Oryctolagus cuniculus: one gene and its partners. The protein of the gene in region 1 purifies or fractionates together with the protein of each later gene. This does not show direct contact. Links are inferred from orthologs where the notes say so. Each region holds a gene or a part of one and is shown in the gene's direction. Other genes may lie near its edges.

Region 1 (4,580 bases):
TTATCACAGAAAAAGCCATTATAGAATTATTTTAAATAATAATATATATTTTAAAACTTCACATCAGCAACCCTCCGTTTCAGCTAATGATTTGTATAAGACTAATAAATTTAGAGAAGTCATCACTTTTTCACTCACTAATATTGTTACAACTTATATCAAAGAGTCAAGAATGAAACATTTTTCTTTCAAAATTGACTTATTAAGGACTGCTTTTTTTGTTTAGCACTTTCAACAACCCTGTGAGAAAAATATAAATACTCCATTTTTATTATAATGATGTGATTGTACAGAATATATAAACCAAAGGAATTTCAACTGGCTACATTCTATCTTTGCACATCCTGCTTAATTGACTAGTCAAATAGTAATATGGGTTTGGACATGCCTCAGTCTCAAAATCTAGTTCATACCCATCAACCTTGAGATCTTTCGCAGATCATTAAACCTCCAAACCCCAGTGTTCCCATCTGTAAGATGCAAGTTACATTTACATAGCTTTGGGATAACTGCACCATAATGTGATTGCAGGGGTAGCACCATGCCAGACACACCTTAGGCTTCTAACAACCTTTCTCACAGCAGAGGATGCAAAATAAGGGGCAAAATTAGGGACTAAATTGCAGCCATCTGGTGAGTGAACCAGTCGATGGAAGATACGTCTTTCTCTCGCTCTGTAACTTCGCCTTTCAAATACTAAATCTTTAAAAAAAAATACTACTAAGAGTAGGGAGAATTTATGCATTAGGAAAATGAGAACCATAAAATAAAATCTGGTACCAATGTGAAAACTCTTTAATTAAAAGCCTACACAGTATAACCTATGCCAACTTATGGCTAAATATAATAATTTTCTAAAAATCCCATCACTTTGAAAACACTTTTCCCTCATCTGTCGTTCATTTTTAAGCACACATCCAACGGATAACCGCCACGAAATCATAACCCACCGTGAGGTGAACGTTAACATCGGCAAATGATGTCAAAATGCAGTGATATTACTACGTGGATTCGAATGTATTCTATTCGGTCTGGACTGAAGCCCTTTCCCCGCCTCAAGATGCTTAGTGACGGGGAAGCACTAAGAAGTCAGGCGGAGAACGCTTGAGGAAAACCACGTAACTTTTAAAATACATCCGTTTCAAAGGAAGGGGAACTCCTCCCTAGCCGTGAAATCCAGTCACAAGGAAATCAAATGGCGCGTTCTCTTCTGGGCACTTGGGCTGGCTACCTCTGTCCTGGGCCATGAGACGGGAGCATAGGTGAGCGTTCCCCTTCTTCTTGACCACAGCCAAGGTTGGGACACGCGGGCTGCCTGCGGGGAACCACCTGCCCACTGCCCTGACCGCAGGGACTCCGCTCCACAGCCCACAGCCTCTCCAGCCCAGAGGTAACACTCCCCGGCAAGCTCCGCCCCGGCCCGCCTCGCCCCAAGACTCGCACATGCGTACACGCACTAAGGAGAGCTCCGCGCGCTGCCCAAGCCCAGCTGCCACGCAGCCAGTCCTTCTGCCCTTCTTCGGGAAGCCGGCTTCACTCCTCAGTAATACGCATGTGTAAACCTGTGTGGCCGGGGATCCTTTAGCAGACAGGGGAGGGGCAGTAGGCGGGACCTCGCTTCTTGCGCACGCTCGGGACATGCGCAGTGCAGGCGCTGAGGCGCCAGCTGTCGATTTGGAAGTTCCGGGGAGAGAGCGCATGCGCGAGGGTACGCGTTGCCGGCGAAGAGGGGAGCCTGACGACTCGGAAATTTGAATACCACAGTAGCATGGAGTGTGACCTCATGGAGACTGACATCTTGGAGTCGTTGGAAGACCTAGGGTAAGACTGCCAGGGCACGGGTCCCCCGAGCCTCACACTGTCGGTCCCCGGGGAACACCCCTGCGCCCCAGTGAGACACCTGCCTCTCCACGCCGCACCCGGTGGCTCTAGCTGTGGCTTTCCAATAGCCCCAGTACCCCAGCGCCGCGTCCACTTCTGTCCTGATGGCTCGGGGCCCCGCAGCACCAACGCCCCTAGGCCTGTCCTGTGCTCCCTGCAGTCGAGTTACCCCGCGGCATTTGTCAGTCATGCGTGTCATTGTCTGGGCTCGGTCTCGCCACCCCCACTCCCCGAGTTTCTTCTCTTGCTCCTTATCCTCCTGCTGTACCCGCTCCTCTCAAGAGTAGATTCTCTGTCTTCATGCTCGTCCTCCAAATTTCCTGTTCTGCCCGTGCTCCCCCACCCTGCTTCTTTCAAAAATTCTCCTTTGCTCAGTCATCTCTGCGTGCAGCCAGGCTTGCCCAAGCCACATGTCTGGACGCTGCATCCGTTCCGCTAGCCTGCTTACTTGGGCACCTAACCTGGCACCACCTCGCTGGGATCCACTGGCAGCTCCTAGTGATTTTCTGACACCCTGTCTCCGTGGAGCACCATTAGCCACTTCATCTTTACCCACTAAGAATCAACATGTTTGTTTTGCAAACATGCAAAAAAACAAACATGTAAAACTGCATCTGACAGTTACCCAACCATAATTCATTAATATCTAGAAGTTGGAAATAGGGCTTATCTCACTGGGTCACCCGGATCAAATGTACTGTATTAAATTTGAGAACTTAGAACCTCTTGGGCTAAATGAGGTTCTAGGCACAAATTGTATGATTAACTATTTGCCTATAAGTTTGGTGTAAAAAAAAAAAAGTACTGGTTTAGCTAGTTGTGTTATAAGTAAGAGCTCTTTTGTCAAAACTTTGCCTTAGGCTTTCCAATGATGTGCAGCCCTTTTATAGAAACCCTTTTTAGGAAAGGAAACTGAGCGTTCCCAAAGCCTTCTAATTTAAATTTCTTGCTGTCCTGGTAGAAGTTTTTAGGAAAGGAAATGGACCTATTAATCATCCTTATTTGTCAAAATGGGTTACCATTGTTCCCTTCCATGAAACTTAAGCTTTCCGGAATATACTGGACTTTGGATGTGAGGAAAATAGTCCTTGTATGTGGACATCTCAAACTGAGTTGCTCCCTCACCTGTAACCAGTCATTCAGAAGACATTTGTGACGAACCCTTCCCCTTCTGCCTGTGTCGCACTGGGTGCTTAAGGGTACAGGGTGAGGTGAAAGAGAGGTTCACAGAATACTATGAAAATAATATACTGTGAGGAGCACCAAGGAGGGTCTCTTTTGTAACTTTCTTAACAGTATTTCTTACAAAAGAATGTAAAATCTGACCAGTATACAAAAAGCTCATGGAAAATGCATGATTTCAAAAAATATTTGCAGTAAAATAAACCTATCTTTTAGAGAAGTACCCTTGTGTGTATTAAAGTTATTTTGAGTGATAGAATCTTTGTTTTTTAATTTTTACTTAAGGTATACAAATTTCATGTATTTCCTATAGACAGATGCAGGAACATAGTGATACCACCCTACCCTTCCTCCACCCGTGCTCACACCACTGTTCCTCCTCCCTCTCCTATTCCCACTCTTAATTTTTACAAAGATCTATTTTCGGTTTACTTTATACTCATGAGATTAACCCTACACTAAGAGTTCACCAAATAGTATGAAGAAAAAAACACTGCTCTTTAATAGGATTGATAGGATCTTAACGTAGGTGATTGGAGTTCATTATTACTGCCATGAATGTTTGATGTTTTAAAAGTACATTGGAATCACAGAGAATTAGGATTCAGATGCACAGTTCATCAGGTGGCCAACAATTATTCAATTAATCTTGACATGTCAATGGTATGATTATGTCTTCTCTTAACACTCACTAAATATAGAAAAATTAATGATTAATTGGAAGGATGTTTAAAGGAAGTCATTAAAAACCTAACCTACTTTATTTCTGCAAAAATTTTTCTACAAAAGATAACCTAAGTTCTATTTCTAAAATGGTAAGATATATAATAGCTATCATTTATTAATGTAGTGTCAGTACTCAATTCAGTTACTTTATTGTACAATAAAGTGAATGCAGAAAAGTTGGTATAATTTAGTAGTGTATGTGATTCTGTCCAATATTCGCATATATTTTGAAGGTAGAAATGCAGTTGTCATTTATCTTTGTGTATTTTTTGAATGGTTCATTGTAAGTTTGAATGGTTCAGTATAAGTTTTTACATGTGCAAATGTATACATTGGTCATCATAACTTATCTTTATTGAAATATTGCTTAATTGCATAAAGAATACATACATGTATTTTTATCTGTAATATATTAGGTATGACTTTATATTCTGAAGTATAACTTCTTACTCACCAGTTACAAGGGCCCCTTGTTGGATGATGGCGCTCTGTCTCAGGCAGTCTCTGCTGGAGCCAGTTCCCCTGAGTTTACCAAACTCTGTGCTTGGCTGGTGTCTGAATTACGAGTGCTCTGTAAACTGGAGGAAAATGTACAAGCAACTAACAGTAAGTAAACATTCACTTGAAGGTGCAAAATGTAAAAATAAGATCATGATATTGTCTAGTTATTAGTACTAATGCTGAAATTTCAGGGTTTTTGTAAATGTAAAGAAAAATTTTGTAGAAGAGTCACAATACTTTTCTCTCATCAATTGTTTTTAGAGATAAAGTGATCCAGAAGTTAAAGACCA
Region 2 (3,008 bases), on another chromosome or scaffold:
TGAACGTTGCCCACCTGAGACCTTCAGAACATCTTTGACTTTGGAATGCAGCCCACTCTTTTCCTTTCTGTGTCTGCTTTGCTATGTCTCTACAGCTTTATCACTATACATGTGTGTACATACATTTCTTGTCTCCGCGTGCACGCACGCACACACACACACGCAAGCTTGGCAGGGATCATGGACTTCAGACTCAGCCCTCCAAGGTGGGAGTCCTGGAGTTCCAGAGACATCACACCAGTCATCCCCCCGACGACCCGTATGCCCACTTGGACCGTGTGCTGTACTTTGTGAGGGTCCTGACCTTGGCCATTGGTGCAGTGAGTGAGACGCTGGAAGCTCCAGGTGTTCTCATTTTCTCTTGAGGAGCAGCTCTGGAAGCACTTGGGAGCTCCCCTGCAGGGAGCTGCTCAGGGTTGGCAGGCTGGCTGCCGTCAGGGGTGGCTCTGTGCACCTGCTGCTGGCGAGGGCTGAGGTGGCCGAAGAGCCGTGCTGAGGGTGGGCTCTGACGCCGTCCTGGCGGCCCTCCCAGGGCTAGGCAAGGCGAGGTGGCTGTGTCGGACGTCTCTGCTCCTTTCATACCAACTCTGAGGCTTCCTGCCAGGCAGTGCTCCAGCGTGGTGCTAGTGAGGGACGGGCTGGATGCGACTCAGTCTGACTGGGGGGCCGCAGCTCCGGGGAGTCGGGCGGCCTCGCCTGCCGAGGGTAGTTCTGCGGGGCAGTGCACTGCAGTTGGTGTGCTTCTGGGAGCCGGCGGGGAGCTGGTTCTGGTCAGTGTGGACCAGCACGGTGTGGTGGAATGAGCTGCATGGGAGCTGGGGTCCTGTAGGTGTCTAGCCGAGGCTGGTGGCTAAGTAGGTATGTGAGCTTCCCTGCAAGAGAGGTCCCTGCAACCTCACGTTTGTGCTTCTGTGCAGAAAGAGCAAAAGGTCAACCCAGGGAAGCCCAAGTAGGTCCTGGGCCCGTTTGAATTTGTGAGGGAGCAGAAGCAGTGTTTGGTGCAGGCTTGTCCCGGTCTCGAGCCGTGCCCAGTGTGGGAGGCAGAAAGTGAGTGTTGCCGTGGGCTGCCTGCAGCTGCCTTTCCTACTCGGACTCCCCGTCCCTCGGTAGACACTGGTAGACTGCTGGCCCAGGTCACTGCAGAGGATTCCTTCCATCTCACGGGAGCCCTGACTGCACCTGCTCCTCCTCCTGCCCAGTCAGCATGTTCTCTAGAGTGAAGGAAGCCACGTTTCTTTTTCCTGCCTGGGGGAGCAGGCCACAAGCAGAGGGAGACAGGCAGACAAGGAGCGGGCGGAGAACCGCGCACTGGCACAGCGGACAGCCCCTGCTTTGCTGTTTGCAAGGGGTGTGCTCTGCAGCACCCGCTCAGGCCCCCGGAGGCCCGCTGCGGAAGCATCATCGGGTCTTGCGTTGCTCAGTTGAGAAAGCTGTTCTTGGATCAGGGGTCTGCTCTTGTTGAAGACCTTGGCCCACACATGAGTTCTGTGCTCAGAGTTTAATGACCCAGTCATTGGGGCCCTGATGTTTTATCTAGGCTCCTCCAGCCTTGCAGGAGCTGCCAAAAAGGTGAACTAAGGAGTGTCCCCAGAGAAAAGAAAGGGGGCCTGGGCCTGCTGCTGCCCTTTCCTGAGACTCCCAGCCCAGTGAAAGGAACACAGTTGACATATTGTTTAAGCCGGAGATGTTGCCTGTATGCGTAAAAGAGCTCTCTGTTTCAGGCTCATGTACAGTCAGGAATGGTTCCTTCTCATCCAACTGCCCATGCGCCAATGATGCTAATGACGACACAGCCACCCGGCGGTCCCCAGGCCGCCCTCGCTCAAAGTGCACTACAGCCCATTCCAGTCTCGACAACAGCGCATTTCCCCTATATGACGCACCCTTCAGGTGAGGCGTGTGTGTGCAGGGGCCGCCGGGGCACCCCAAGCATTCTGCTCGCACAGGTCGAATGGCAGGCAGGGCCAGTGCTTCCAGCCTCACACCTGAGAACTAGCAAGCCCCATGCAAGCGTGCGCAGGAGGGACCGTGACCGTCAGTTCCGTGTCAGGGCCGAGTCTGTGTGTTTTGATGGTGTCCAGGATTTGACTTGATGAGAAGCAGCAGCAGCATTCTGGGTAGCTGATGCATGCCTAGGGCACAGTTGGCCTTCCTGGTTATGACAGGCTGGACAGGGCCGTGGTTCCGTCCTGCGTCCCGACCGTTGGACACGTGGGGGGTTATTACCATGGCCGAATCTGATTGTAGCTTGGAACAGACCAGTGATGAGCAAGTGCTGTGTGGACTGGTTTCGAGTGCAGGGTCAGCTGCAGCCTCCGTCCTGACAGCAGGAGTGCCCCGTGGTCGTTCTGCAGTACTGATGGCTGCCATGGCGGTCGTGGACGGTCTTCCTGGTGCTTGGCTAATATGAGGGAGGGGGTATGTGAAGGCCTTTTTTCCTACCCCATGAGCAACAAGTCTTCTGGGAGTTTATCTGAAGTGGTTTCATGTCTGACTGGCTTGTTTCTATCTACCCACCCCCCCACCCACCCAGCCCTCCCCACGTGATGCAGATTGGGAGGGGGGCAGTGAATTAAACTTGGAGTCTCCTCCTAGCTAGCCAAGGCTAGATGCAGGCACGCGCTGCGGACTCTGGGCTCGTGGGCCGTGCTGCAGCGTTCTGTTTAAATGCTCACTCTTCTCTCTTACAGTACAAGCCCACCACCACCAGCAGCTGTAAGGCTGCCCTGGAGGAGCCGAAGGGCCAGATCCCCTCCCCCCTGCTCCTGCTTCTACCAGCTGGAAGCACAGAAAACTAGAAGTTCACTTATTTTGTTTTTAAACGATATACGTTGATTTCTTGTAACATCCAATAGGAATGCTAACAGCTCACTTGCAGTGGAAGATACTTGGCCCGAGTAGAGGCACTGTAGGAACCTGGGGCTGTCCATAATTCCACATGCTGTTTGCAGAGTCCCGCAAGTACCCCAGCTCTGCTTGCCAAAACTGGAAGTTATTTATTTTTTAAT
Region 3 (4,659 bases), on another chromosome or scaffold:
ACGTGGCCTCGTGGTTTGTAGGGTGAACGGGGTCCTGGCGGCCCGGGACTCTCAAGCTGGGAGCACCGCGGCCCCACTGGAATGAAACACAGTGAGCCCTGGATGCTGAGCGCCGGCCGTCACCCAACTTACCCGTGCACTGGAAGGTGTTCAGCATGGAGACTCGGGCGGGCGGCTTGCCCTCACTCCCTTCCCTGCTGCGGGGCTGTCAGATAATTTTTACTATTTATTTGTCTGGTTTTGTATTTCGAAAATGAGTTCAGATTTGCTCAGAAGGTGAGAGGCTATTACAAATAACTTCAGACAACACCTACCTCAAGTCACCAACTGTTGACACTTGGCCACTATGCATTTTCTCTGTGATTACGATATATACTTGTATAGAACTGTCAACCATTTGAGAGTACTCCCATGCCTTACAATACTTCACTTTACATGTTTTTTTCTTTTTCTTTTTTGTATTTTTATTTTTTTCATTTCAGAGTATATTTATTAAGCATACGCCCTCACCTGTCTATCACAGTTATCAGAGTCAGGTAATTTATCCTGGATACAATACTCTATATACCAAATTCATCAATTTTCCCCATTTAAAAAATATTTTATTTGAAAGGCAGAGCTACAGAGAGAGCGAGCTCGCATGCCCCGGTTCCCCCCGACACCTCCAGCTGTTTGCTCCTTCCCCTCTTCTGTATTCGGGTCTCTGTTCTTCCCCCGTGGGATCCCTGGCTCTCGAGAAGATCCAGACATTCATTCACCTGTGCGCTCAGTCCTACGATACCCCCAGAGCACTTGCAGAATTGCCACCCACGCCCTTAGCGCTCCGACAAACCCACCCTGCTAAGGCTCCTGTGAAGCCGGGAAGGACTCGGGCCACCTGCTGCTGCTTTCCCAGGCACGGGAGCAGGGAGCTGGATGGGAAGTGGAGCAGCTGGGGCTGGAGCCGGCGCCCCAGATGCCTGCCACGGCCGAACCTGCTGCGCTCCAACATCGACACCCAAGTCCGGACCTTGTTAACGACCGGAGGTGTCTTTACTGCAGAGCTGGGTGGAGGATTTTGAAGTGGACCCTAGAAATTTTGGCCTTCAGAGAGTCTCTTTTACTAAAGTTCTAAGGGCTCATTCTCAGGCAAGGAGAAGCAGCTTACGTTTAAAGACCACTGAGATTTAAAACAATTTAGGATTAGGCATAGATCTATCTGCAAGGATGAACACGTTCAAACGAATCATCGTAATTCTCATCCGGCTTTTACTGACAGTAAATGCGGAGGAGAGTAAGCAGCTCCTTAAAAATAAATAAATAATAAAAAATAAAAAAACCACCGCTTGCCTAAATGAGCAACTGCTAGGTTTTTGCAGTCCGGGATCTTTTTTTTTTTTTTTTTCCTGGGCACTGGAGACTCCGCCCACAAGCGCCCCAGCGGCGGAAGAACCTCACGCTACGCCGTGACCGCTCACGTCGCTGCGGAGGCATCCTGACGTGACGCCGGCGGCGTGGGCGGGGCAGCCGGATCTTCGTCGCCGCTTCTTCGGCTCCTCCCCCAGCGCCTCACACGCTCATTGTGAAGCGACAGCAGGCGCCAGCCTCTAGGGCGGTTTGAGACCCAGAGACCCTAAATCCTGGGTGCGCGTGAGCGCCCGCGCTGCTCCCGACCCACCCTGAGGGCTACGGGTGCGAGACTTACCGATTCCGCCCCCCCCACCCCGCTTCTCCCGGAGCTAACCGCCCGGCGCGCGCCAGCCCCTCGCGCCGGCCGCCGCCGCCCCTCCCCCTCCGGGAGCTCCCGCCCTCCCCTTCCCCCGGCGACGCGCACGCGCGCAGGGCCGGCTCGCGCCCTCTCGTTTTCCTCCGGCCCGCGAGACCCCCTCCCCTTCCGCCTCGCGGCGCTTCCTCGCGCCGCGGTCTTCTCCAGCCACCCCCGACACCGCGGGGCTCCCCGCCCCCGCCCGCCAACGGCGGGTCCCCGGCTTCCCAGTCCCCTTCGCTTCCCGCGCTCTCCGCCGGGGGGGTCCAGCCCCGGCCCCCCTCTCCTCCCCTCCCTTCCCTCTAATTCCCCTTCCGGACGCTGCCATCATGTTGAAGCCTCAGCCGCCACAACAGACCTCTCAGCCCCAGCAGCCGCCCCCCACGCAACAGGCCGTGGCCCGCCGGCCTCCCGGGGGCACCAGCCCTCCCAACGGCGGCCTCCCGGGGCCGCTGGCCGCCGCCGCCGCCGCGACTCCGCCGGGGCCTCCCGCCGCCGCCTCCCCCTGCCTGGGGCCTGCGGCCGCTGCCGGCACCGGACTCCGCCGGGGAGCTGAAGGCATCCTGGCGCCGCAGCCGCCGCCGCCGCCGCAGCAGCCGCCGCCGCATCAGGAGAGGCCAGGGGCCGGCGCCATCGGCAGCGCCAGGTGAGGCGGGGTGGGCCGAGGGAGGAGGCAGCGGCTCGGTGCCGGCGGGGCGGGCCCCAGCCCGGCACCTTGGAGGGGCGCAGGGAGGGGGCGGCAACCCCCGTGAAACCAGGGAGGGTCCCCCCTCGCTTCCCAGCCGGCCCCCGCGGGCGTCTGGGGGCTGTGCTCAGCTCCCGGGCCTCGGGCCGTGCTCAGGGCCCGGGACCCGAGGGGCGGCGGGGCGCACCCCGCCGGCGCCGTCGGAACGGGGCGTGGGGGGGGCCGAAGAGGTGATCGGGGTCCCCGGCTCCATTACCACGAAGGGTCTCGCGGTCCCCGGCTGCAGCCAATGGGGAGTCAGCTGCGGGAAGGGGTCCCCGGCCGTAGCCAATGGAGGGGGGCGCGCGGCCCACAGTTTGGCCAATGGGGAGGGAGGGACTTGGGAGCGGGTTGCTACCTCCCCTTCCCGGGCTGGCCAGTTGGAGGGGAGCGGGGCGGGCGGGGGCTCGAGGACTGCGGGCCGGGGAGCTCCGGCGCGCGCGCTCCCGCCCTTCCGGACGTGCGCGCGGATGCGCTGTCTCATGACCCGGGCTATCGCGTGCCCCGGTAGCAGTAGGGCTGGGGCCGTGAGTGCGTGGAGCGGCTCATCTGGTGTTCGTGAACAAGCAGCAGCCGCCCTGCCCCTGTTCTTGTGTGTGTATGTGTGTGTGTCTCTGCGTGCGTGCGTGTTCATGGAATCGAGAGTGGCGGCACACGCAGGCGCAGTGCGTGCGGATCGCGGGAGGGGGGATTGGGAAGAGGCCCGTGGGTTTTAGTGCGCAGGCGCAGACCGGGCGAGGCCTCCCGGTGGATGGCTTTTGCGGCTGCGCTGTCCCCCAGCCCCGCCAACGGCCCCCTCATCGCCCTCCTCTACCGCCGGTTACATCAGCCATCGAGGAGCAGTGTTAACCTGGCGATTGGTGAGGCCCGCAGAGTGGGTAACGGGCCGAATGAGTCAGGAGGTCGAAGGGGTGAGGTGGGGAGGTGATGACCCCACTCCCCACCTCTCCGTGGTCTGGGTTGTAAGGGGGGTGAAAATGATTCTTTCCCGTTCGGAAGATAATGCGCCTGAGCTAGGTAGTTCGGGATCCGTGCTCCGGAGCTGTCCCCTGCGGTGGGTTACTGGTTATCCGGCGCCAGGCACTGGCCTGTTGGAAGCGTGCAGCCTGGCCCCGTGGAGGAAGTGGGAAGCTTGTATTGCTTTGGCTCTTAGAGCAACAGACAGTTATTTCTGATCGAGGTCTTTTTTACTGGCATTTGGAAGAAATGTGTTGCTGACATTTCATACCTATTCTTTCTAAGTGAGAGTTGGGAAATCTTGCTGATTGATGGGCTCGTAGCTTAAATCAGATCCTTCACACGGTACTTGGTTCTGGAGTGTGTCGTTCATCAGTGCGTAGGGGGCTTGAACAGTGAAGTAATGTGTTTCTTGTTTCCTTTTCTTACAGGGGACAGAGCACAGGAAAGGGACCCCCACAGTCACCTGTGAGTGCCCCCCCCCCCCATGACCTAAAAGACAACTACTTGGGAGTACAGGGCAGATTCGGTGCAGAGGTAGTCAGATGGGCTCAGCAGGGCTAGGGGCCTGGCATGTCCAAGGTGGGCAGAAGTAGAGTGTGGCCATTTAGAGCCACAGTGAGGTGTTGACGGCTGCTCCTCTGTTTCCCCCTCCTGACAGGTGTTTGAAGGTGTCTATAACAATTCCAGAATGCTGCATTTCCTTACAGCTGTTGTGGTGAGTGGGGGCTCACCCTTCAGTTGATTGAGGAGTGTGATGGATCCATTTGCTGAGACACTCTACTTGCTTCTCGCTCCCTCGCAGGGCTCCACTTGTGACGTAAAAGTGAAGAATGGCACCACCTACGAGGGTATCTTCAAGACACTGAGCTCAAAGGTCAGTGTACTCCAGTGAGCTTATTGGAGCTGCCTGGAAGGAGGATGAGGAGAGGGCGTGAGTTGGGCGGCTTTGTGTTGATCGCAGGCCTGTGCGGAGTAGTGCCACAAGTGTTATTTTTTTCAGAGGGCCGGGTACTTTGTTAAAGTTTAAATTCATAAATTTGAGGCTTATTAAGTCCTGTGGCTGATATTAGGAAGGGTGCACATGAGAGTAGTGTGGGGGAAGTTGAGAAAGGCTAAGGGCAAGGTAGTCATTTGGCCTTCACTAACTCTTGGCTTCTGGGCAATGGGACCTTTGTAGTTTGAACTCGCCGTAGATGCTGTGCACCGGAAAGCGTCTGAGCCAGCAGGCGGC
Region 4 (3,960 bases), on another chromosome or scaffold:
TTCTCTTTATCCAGAAGAGGGCGCACAGGAAGATCAAATGTGTTGAGTAATTTCAGTTTCTAATTCAAATGCTAGATTTATCAGGACTCGAGTTTTGCTGAGTTCATTTGAAGGAGAGTTACCTTAGCAGTCCTACGAAAGAAAAACACTAGGAGTTATTTATTTTAGTAATTCTATAATGCTTGTTTTTCTCAAATAGCTAAGCTTTAAAAGGAAAAGCGTTTCCCACGTATTTTTTTGCATACCAACAAGATAGCCATAGGAAAATTTTCATGTAAATTGAGGAATGTTTCTTATCATCCAAGTTTGAGGGTGGGAGTATAGTGGTTTCTGAGCCATTTTTTCTTTATTTGGTGGTTTCTAGTATTAATAATCTTAAGAAAATTTATTTTACTTTAAGATCTGTGCATTGGTTAAGCTTAGTTTGGACATTGGAATTTTTTTGGTATTTAAGATAGCTTACCTTTGACATCGGAAGTTGTGACTAATAGGCTCAAGGTACAAATGTTTGTTAAGCATGTTAAATGGTATAGATCTTGTTTTTAATACAAAAATGCCCAGGGGTGAGTTGTGTCTGTTAAGAATGTTGAGAGCCTCTGTTGAGAAACTATACTTTTGTAAAGGAAAAAGAACCTTTAAGAGACAACTTAAGCAAGTGGTCTCTTTCTTGTTTAATAGAATTTTTCTGTGAAAAACTGGATTTGATTGTCTCTCAGCCTTCACAGCAGCCAGAAAATAAAAATTAATCCTATATAAGTTAAGAACTTTTTCAAAATGATAACAAGTTTTTTGCCTTTCTGCTTATGATTATGCCTTGAGTGTTTTACTTTTTACTTTTTTAACAGGTTCAGTATAGTTCATAGGTACAATCCTAAGAATATAATGATGTTCCCTTTTCCCTTCCCTCCCTTTCTCCCCTTCTCACTTGAGTATGTTTTCTACAGTTATTTTCTAGAAGTCACGCAGTGATATGCTTCGGAAAAGCTCAGATATAAAACCTGGTGTGAGCAGCAAAATACCTTTATTTGCCCTTTAATACCAACTTTTTCCCTGATGTAGAATGAGTGACTTAAAATTTTAGTCCAGTCTGTGACTCATCCTAGATTGTGTTCTACTCCACACCTAGTTATTTTAGAGCAACGGTTCTCAAACTTTTTTTTAAAAAAATCCAGTATCCCCCTATATCTCCAAATAAAACAAAGTTTTTAAAAAAATACACACACTCATGTGCCTTTTAGCCTTCACAGACCAAAGGTCTTAAAATAATTAGGGGAAGAAAAAAACAGAATGGAATGATAAAGCTAAAAGTGTTTCTGTTGAACTCATACTCCCCAAAAGAGCTGTTTTTAAATGAATGTGTGTGTATCCTTGTATTGTATATCTATTTCTAATGGTTTGATTTCAGGATGCTTTTGTAAACATTTTGTAGAAAGGTAAATAACACCATTTTACTAATAAGGGAGTGTAAGATTGCCCAATTAAATCATCTATAGTTAATAGAGTTAACTGTTTATGGTGGTTGAAGGTCTTTAATGAAATCTGAATATCCTAACACTTGTGGTATTATATGTCCTCTTATGTAGTTTTGTTTGCAATTAGATGGCTTCCACAGTAGTTTTTCACTGATCTCTAGAATAGACAGTATTGCATGGTGGTAAAACCATGTATTCCAGGCAGGCTAGAGTTCAGATTTCCAGTTGTGCCACTTTGTGATCTGGAAAAGTTACTTCATCTCTATGAGAATCTATTCATCTAATGATAAAATGAAGAAAATATGTCTTAATAAGAATTACAAGCACTTGTACATAGGTGTTATAGTTCCATGTGTTAAAGCATGATCTGAAGTCAAATTACATTAGAACATTTCCTTGTAATAAGTACTGTATCAGTAAAACATGATTTTTGCCCAGAGGGTAGCTCTGTCCTTAATTGTAAAGAAATTTTTATAATGGGTAGATTGATTATGTCAGATGAGAAATCATGTTTTCTATGGTTTGAATCAAGGTACAGTTTCTGCCTCTTAACAGTAGATTCCATTTTGCAGTCTTGTAAAATAGGACTAACAAGGGTCTTACAGAGATGTGAAATAATAAAACTATAGCTCATATATAGTATCTAACATACAGCAAATAAAAGTCCTTAAATGTTACATAATAATGTATTTATGTGTTGTGATTTTTAAAAAAAAATTTTTTTTCCCTTCTCTAGGCTATGGTGAACTAAATGGTAATGCTGGAGAAAGAGAAATATCTTTAAAGAGTCTGGGTTCTGATGAAGCTACCAACCCTATTTCCAGGGTCCTCAATGGCAACCAGCAAGTTGTAGACCCTAGCCTGAAGCAGACTGTAAAGGCCAGCACCTTTGGGAAAGCAGGAATTAAAACCAAGAATTTCATTCAGAAAAACAGTATGGACAAAAAGAATGGGAAGTCTTATGAAAACAAATCTGGAGAGAACCAGTCTGTAGATAAAAGTGATACTGTAGCAATTCCAAATGGTGTTGTAACAAATAATTCAGGCTATATTGCTAATGGTTATATGGGCAAAGGAGCAGATAATGATGGTAGTGGATCAGAGAGCGGATATACCACTCCTAAGAAAAGAAAAGCTAGGCGCAATAGTGCCAAGGGTTGTGAAAACCTTAATTTAGTGCAGGAAAAAATAATGCAACAAGAGACCAGTGTCCCAACCTTAAAACAGGGACTTGAAACTTTCAAGCCTGACTATAGTGAACAAAAGGGAAACCGAGTAGATGGTTCCAAGCCTGTTTGGAAATATGAACCTGGGCCTGGAGGAACAAGTCGAGGAAAACCTGCCGTGGGTGATGTGCTTCGGAAAAGCTCAGATATAAAACCTGGTGTGAGCAGCAAAAAGTTTGATGATCGGCCCAAAGGAAAGCATGCCTCGGCTGTTGCCTCCAAAGAGGACTCGTGGACCCTATTTAAACCACCCCCAGTTTTTCCAGTGGACAATAGCAGTGCTAAAATCGTTCCTAAAATAAGTTATGCAAGCAAAGTTAAGGAAAACCTCAACAAAACTATACAGAACTCTGTGTCACCATCTTCATCCTCATCCTCTTCATCATCTACTGGAGAAACTCAGACACAATCTTCAAGTCGGTTATCCCAGGTTCCTATGTCAGCACTGAAATCTGTTACTTCTGCCAGCTTTTCTAACGGGCCTGTCTTAGCGGGGACTGATGCAAATGTGTATCCTCCAGGGGGTCAGCCACTGCTAACTACTGCTGCTAATACTTTAACACCCATCTCTTCTGGGACTGATTCAGTTCTCCAGGACGTGAGTCTAACTTCAGCAGCTGTTGAACAAATAAAGTCTAGCCTTTTTATTTATCCTTCAAATATGCAAACTGTGCTTTTAAGCACAGCACAAGTGGATCTGCCCTCTCAGACCGATCAGCAAAACCTGGGGGATATCTTCCAGAATCAGTGGGGTTTATCATTTATAAATGAGCCCAGTGCTGGCCCTGAGACTGTTATTGGGAAGTCATCAGATCATAAAGTGGTGGAGGTGACATTTCAAGGAGAATATCCTGCCACTTTGGTTTCACAGGGTGCTGAAATAATCCCCTCAGGAACTGAGCATCCTGTGTTTCCCAAGGCTTATGAGCTGGAGAAACGGACTAGTCCTCAAGTTCTGAGTAACATTCTAAAATCTGGGACTACTAATGAGAGTGGAGCCTTATCCTTGGAACCCAGTCATATAGGTGACCTGCAAAAAGCAGACACCAGTAGTCAAGGTGCTTTAGTGTTTCTCTCAAAGGACTACGAGATAGAAAATCAAAATCCTCTGGCCTCTCCTACGAACACTTTGTTGGGCTCCGCCAAAGAACAGAGATACCAGAGAGGCCTAGAAAGGAATGATAGCTGGGGTTCTTTTGACCTGAGGGCTGCTATTGTATATCACACTAAAGGTAACTTCATTTGTTTCTTATACAAAGATT
Region 5 (4,434 bases), on another chromosome or scaffold:
GAAAGCTTTATTTACTGGAACACGTCAAGGCGACGGGGAAGGGAGAGCACCCTCGAGAAGCTGGCTTGCTGAGGAGCAGTTGGCCTGGCCTTTCAGAGCAGGGCTTCTCAGCGGACCCGCACCCAGAAGGGAGGAAGGACTCTCCTGCTGCTCAGGCAGCATACTTTCCATACACCGTGACTCAGGCTGATTTCATGTTGCTTTTCTGCACTGACCGGTGGTCTGGCCTCTGAGCAGTGTTGCAAAATAAGCTCCCTGGAGCAGCCCTACAAGCTCAAGCAAGTCAGCTGTTCCCTTCCCTCATACTGCTAATTGCATTATCTGCAATTGCACGCATGTTTTTTTCCTCCCTTAGTTTCCCTTCATTGATGTTTTTTTTTTATTTTCCACTAATATTTCAATACTTACACAGCTAGTATGTGCCTGAGTATAGCTTCATCTTTGACCAGATTTTGTTGGAAGCAAACCACTTGTGAACTCATTTTCTTGATTCATTCCCTAAGTAAGTATACAGTGGCCTTATAATTCGCTTAACACTTTCTAACTCTAGATTATAAGTATTTATTCACACACATATGTTGGTTATTCTGCTTAAACTTCCCGAAAACAGAGTTTACTCATTCCTGTGTCCCATCGATGCGAACATGGTGTCGAGTTAATATCTTGAAATAAAATGAACCATCCAGGGTTGGCTTACCCCCGAGAACTTCAGCATCTCAGCGTAGCTGTCATGAAGCCCTTCTTGATCAGAGCCCTTGCTGGTCCTCAAGGCTTCCGCCCAGCCCCCGTAAGCTGCATCCTCCCCCAGCCAGCTGTCACTCATTGCTTGCCCTTACCCATCTACTGCCCTCAAAGGGAGTTCCTGTTTTGCCAGCAAGGTGAACTCCTCACCAATTTCAAGCTGTGGGTCACACTCAGGTCATCTGCTTAATGTTGTAAACTCCATAAGTAGGGGCCAGCTCTGCCTAGCCCAGTGCGTCCTCCCCAGTGTCTGAAAAGCAGGGAAGGACAGGCTCAGGAAGCTTCGTCAATACAGTAAGAACATTTTATTGGTTCTAGAAGGCAGTGGCACCCGTTAAGAGATACCTAGCCGAAGAGGCTATGGGCAGTTGTGTTTTAGAAAATCATGCTTCTCGCTGTGATTGCAGAAGGCAAGACTGGCCCTCAGAAATCCCTCAGAGTAAGCAGGAGTGACGGGAGCCCGATGTGAGGCGACATCAGTGAGGTTCACGGGGCACAGGAGGATCTGAGTTTGCAGGAAGTGGTGATCCACGCGGTGCTGTGACTGAGGGCACCTAACGATGACTTCCTCGTTCTGACCTCACTCAGCGGCTGGCGAAAGCTGGAATGTGCACACGCTTTTATACTTCTACGTTTCCCTGTGGATCGACCACCAACTAACCTTTGTTTTGCAATGTATTAACAGTGCTACAAGAACACCTCGTATGTGGGAAGAGCAATGCACGCATGAATGAATGCAGCCAAAATCCTAATGGGCAGTTCTGTGATCCAGTGAGCGCTGCTACGTACGACAGCAGCGGACAGCCTACATGTCTCACGCTCTACACGCCGCGGTGGAAAGCCAGAGGAAACTGCCTGGCCGGCTCCTGTCGGCCTTTTGTGCGACTAGGAAGCGGACAATAAAGTTAATTTGAGCGTCGACGTGCCCGGACGTGGCCCCGCCTCCTCACCCGGAGCTCCCATTGGTAGGCGCTTGCCGGCGGCCGCCGTTCTGAAGCTCCGATTGGCCAAGGCCGCCGTCACTCCGTAGCGTCGCCGCGCCCGCCCGCCCTCTCGCCGCGTCGCCGGTGCCTGCGCCGCCTGCTTCTCCTCGCTTCTCTTCTCCCGGCTGAGGCCCGGGGGACCAGAGCGAGAAGCGGGGACCATGTTCCGACGCAAGCTGACGGCTCTGGACTACCACAACCCTTCTGGCTTCAACTGCAAAGGTGAGGCGGCGGCCCGGGGCCGGCGGCGGTCCCTCCCCGAGCGTCCCCACCCTGCCTCCTCACCGGGACCCTCGGCGGCCTTGGCTGCCCCTGGGTGCCCCGGGGCCGCTCCCCGGGCTAAGGAGCCCCCTCTCCCGGCCCTGCCTCGGCGCCGACACTTTCTGCACTTGCTAAACTGCTGCCGCCACCCGGCCTTGGCACACCCAACGGGAGGCTTTCGTTGTTTTCTCACTTAAGCGGGGGTCGTTAGGCTGTACCTGGGGCACCTGCTGGGGGCCCGCGGCGCGCTGGGTTCTGGGGAGGGTGCAGAGGGGGTCACGGGCTGCAGCAGCCGAGCTCCAGGAGTGGGAGGCCCGGCCCAGGGAGCAGCCGCAGAGAGCAGGCGCTGAGGCCCGGGCGGGGCGGGGGGCGCGGGCTCGGGGGGTCGCACGGGGCGTGCACGGAAGTGAAGTAGCCCCTAAGCGGGCAGGCTGCGTCGCGAACACCGGAGTGTTGGGGGATGTTCCTGCGTTGAAGTCTTTACAAAGTCGTGTTCCTGCTGGCCTCCGAGAGGGACCCCCGAGTCCAGCTTGCGGCGCGGCGCTCAGAGCACCGCAGGCGGCCTGCTGAAACCGATTTCCGAGCCGACTACGTGCTGGTTTTTTCCGTCTTGCGTAGAAGCGTAGCAAACGGTAGTGGTGTGTTTTTCCACTTTGCCTTTTACTTAGTGGACAAGGGTCCGTGGCGCTGTAGCTCAAATGTGGGTGTGAACCTTTGCGCCCCAGTTTGCTCGTCTGTGAAATGGGGCTATTACCCGTATCATAAGGGTGTGTTGAAAGGGGGTGGGCTGAAATCGTGTACGAGGTGCCCTTAATGTGGGAGTAACCTTCCGTGATACCTGCTGTCTTCCCTAAGTTTTGTCATTTGATCTGTTATTCCTTATTTCATTTTTCCTTATTAATTCTGTGGCAAAAATTAAGCCTTAAGTAGTCTCGTCTCCCCCTGAAAGGAACCGGAATATTAATAACATTAAAACAGCGCAGCTCTATGCTAGACACTTTGTTCGTCTTCACATAAGCTTCCCGGCGATGCCAGATACGTGCTAATATTATTAGCCCATGGAGTAGGTGGAAGACTCTGGAGCACAGAGACTATAGGTGGTGTCCCCAGATCCGCGTAACCATAGAACCCAGAATCTGAACCCAGGCCGGGACGGGAACAGATGATTGTTACTGTCTGGCTCCCGTCTGTACTTCCGACTCGTACTTCTGTCAGCTCCATGAACTTAGTATCTTGGGGTTGAGAAAAGTCCACGAGACCAGTTATCTGTGGAGGAGGAAGTGTTCTGGGGAATACGTGAAAGTATTCTGGTGAATATTTCTGGTGACTTGGTGACTTTTTGTTGCAGATGAAACAGAATTTAGAAACTTCATCGTTTGGCTTGAAGATCAGAAAATCAGACACTACAAGATTGAAGACAGAGGGAACTTAAGAAACATCCACAGCAGCGACTGGCCCAAGTTCTTTGAAAAGGTAACGAGTCAGGGAAGTAGAAGCAAAGCAGAGCTGCGTGGAAGCAAGCTTGCGATGACTCGTCCTTGGACGACAGTGATCGTCGTTGGAAACGCGGACTTCAGTGGTTCCGGTTTTTTTTAACTGTGTTTCTTTTTTTTAAGATTTTATTTATTTATTTGAGAGGTAGAGTTATAGACAGAGAGAGACAGAAAGCTCTGTCATCCATTGTTTAAATGGCTCCAACGGCCAGAGCTGCGCCGATCCAAAGCCAGGAGCCTCCTCCTGGTCTCCCATGGGGTGCAGGGCCCAAGGACCTGGGCCATCCTCCACTGCACTCTCGGGCCACAGCAGAGAGCTGGACGAGAAGAGGAGCACCCGGGACTAGAACCTGGTGCTCATATAGGATGCCAGCGCTGCAGGTGGAGGCTTAACCTACTATGCCAGCGCACCGGCCCTGTCTGTGTTTCTTTTGATTCTAGAGAGAATGATATCCCTTCCTACCAAGCCTGAATACTACATAGAAATAATTTCCTCTGGAAATATTGTGAAGCTTCTTAAATAGTGATATGTAGTCTTTGATTTAATGGCCAAAATCAGATTTTTTACATTACACTAAAAGTGCAGTAATAATACACTTTTTAAAAAAATTTGACAGGTAGAGTTATAGACAGTGAGACAGAGAGAAAGGCCTTCCATTGGTTCACTCCCCAAATGGCTGCTACGGCCGGAGTTACGCCAATCCGAAGCCAGAGCCAGGAGCTTTCTCCTGGTCTCCCATGCAGGTGCAGGGGCCCAAACACTTGGGCCATCCTCCACTGCACTCCCAGGCCACAGCAGAGAGCTGGACTGGAGGAGGAGCAGCCGGGACTAGAACCCGGCACCCATATGGGATGCTGGTGCCGCAGGTGGAAGATTAACCAAGTGAGCCACGGCGCCAGCCCCCAATACACTTTTACCAAATCTTTTGGAATAACAAAACATTATTGATAAACTT

What was found.
Region 2: the proteins of FAM98A (region 1) and ATXN2 purify together in Homo sapiens (co-immunoprecipitation; 3 studies listed by BioGRID and IntAct, counting the BioPlex papers as one, with this or other methods). This does not show direct contact. The link is inferred for Oryctolagus cuniculus from reciprocal best matches to the Homo sapiens genes FAM98A and ATXN2.
Region 3: the proteins of FAM98A (region 1) and ATXN2L purify together in Homo sapiens (co-immunoprecipitation; 3 studies listed by BioGRID and IntAct, with this or other methods). This does not show direct contact. The link is inferred for Oryctolagus cuniculus from reciprocal best matches to the Homo sapiens genes FAM98A and ATXN2L.
Region 4: the proteins of FAM98A (region 1) and NUFIP2 purify together in Homo sapiens (co-immunoprecipitation; 3 studies listed by BioGRID and IntAct, with this or other methods). This does not show direct contact. The link is inferred for Oryctolagus cuniculus from reciprocal best matches to the Homo sapiens genes FAM98A and NUFIP2.
Region 5: the proteins of FAM98A (region 1) and RTRAF purify together in Homo sapiens (affinity purification with mass spectrometry; 4 studies listed by BioGRID and IntAct, with this or other methods). This does not show direct contact. The link is inferred for Oryctolagus cuniculus from reciprocal best matches to the Homo sapiens genes FAM98A and RTRAF.

Annotation. Positions count from the first base shown.
Region 1 is NC_091433.1:169,258,079-169,262,658, forward strand, and holds the start of FAM98A (protein FAM98A), read left to right. Parts: upstream 1-1,580; 5' UTR 1,581-1,768; coding exon 1,769-1,821; intron 1,822-4,246; coding exon 4,247-4,395; intron 4,396-4,580. UniProt on the Homo sapiens protein: Positively stimulates PRMT1-induced protein arginine methylation. Involved in skeletal homeostasis. Positively regulates lysosome peripheral distribution and ruffled border formation in osteoclasts.
Region 2 is NC_091452.1:8,882,317-8,885,324, reverse strand, and holds the end of ATXN2 (ataxin-2), read left to right. Parts: intron 1-1,721; coding exon 1,722-2,093; 3' UTR 2,094-2,232; downstream 2,233-3,008. UniProt on the Homo sapiens protein: Involved in EGFR trafficking, acting as negative regulator of endocytic EGFR internalization at the plasma membrane.
Region 3 is NC_091450.1:7,673,921-7,678,579, forward strand, and holds the start of ATXN2L (ataxin-2-like protein), read left to right. Parts: upstream 1-1,555; 5' UTR 1,556-2,073; coding exon 2,074-2,390; intron 2,391-3,175; exon of another isoform or gene 3,176-3,328; intron 3,329-3,856; coding exon 3,857-3,893; intron 3,894-4,086; coding exon 4,087-4,143; intron 4,144-4,230; coding exon 4,231-4,302; intron 4,303-4,605; coding exon 4,606-4,659. UniProt on the Homo sapiens protein: Involved in the regulation of stress granule and P-body formation.
Region 4 is NC_091448.1:44,722,421-44,726,380, reverse strand, and holds part of NUFIP2 (FMR1-interacting protein NUFIP2), read left to right. Parts: intron 1-2,208; coding exon 2,209-3,930; intron 3,931-3,960. UniProt on the Homo sapiens protein: Binds RNA.
Region 5 is NC_091443.1:24,285,004-24,289,437, reverse strand, and holds the start of RTRAF (RNA transcription, translation and transport factor protein), read left to right. Parts: upstream 1-1,323; 5' UTR 1,324-1,885; coding exon 1,886-1,946; intron 1,947-3,333; coding exon 3,334-3,458; intron 3,459-4,434. UniProt on the Homo sapiens protein: RNA-binding protein involved in modulation of mRNA transcription by Polymerase II. Component of the tRNA-splicing ligase complex and is required for tRNA ligation.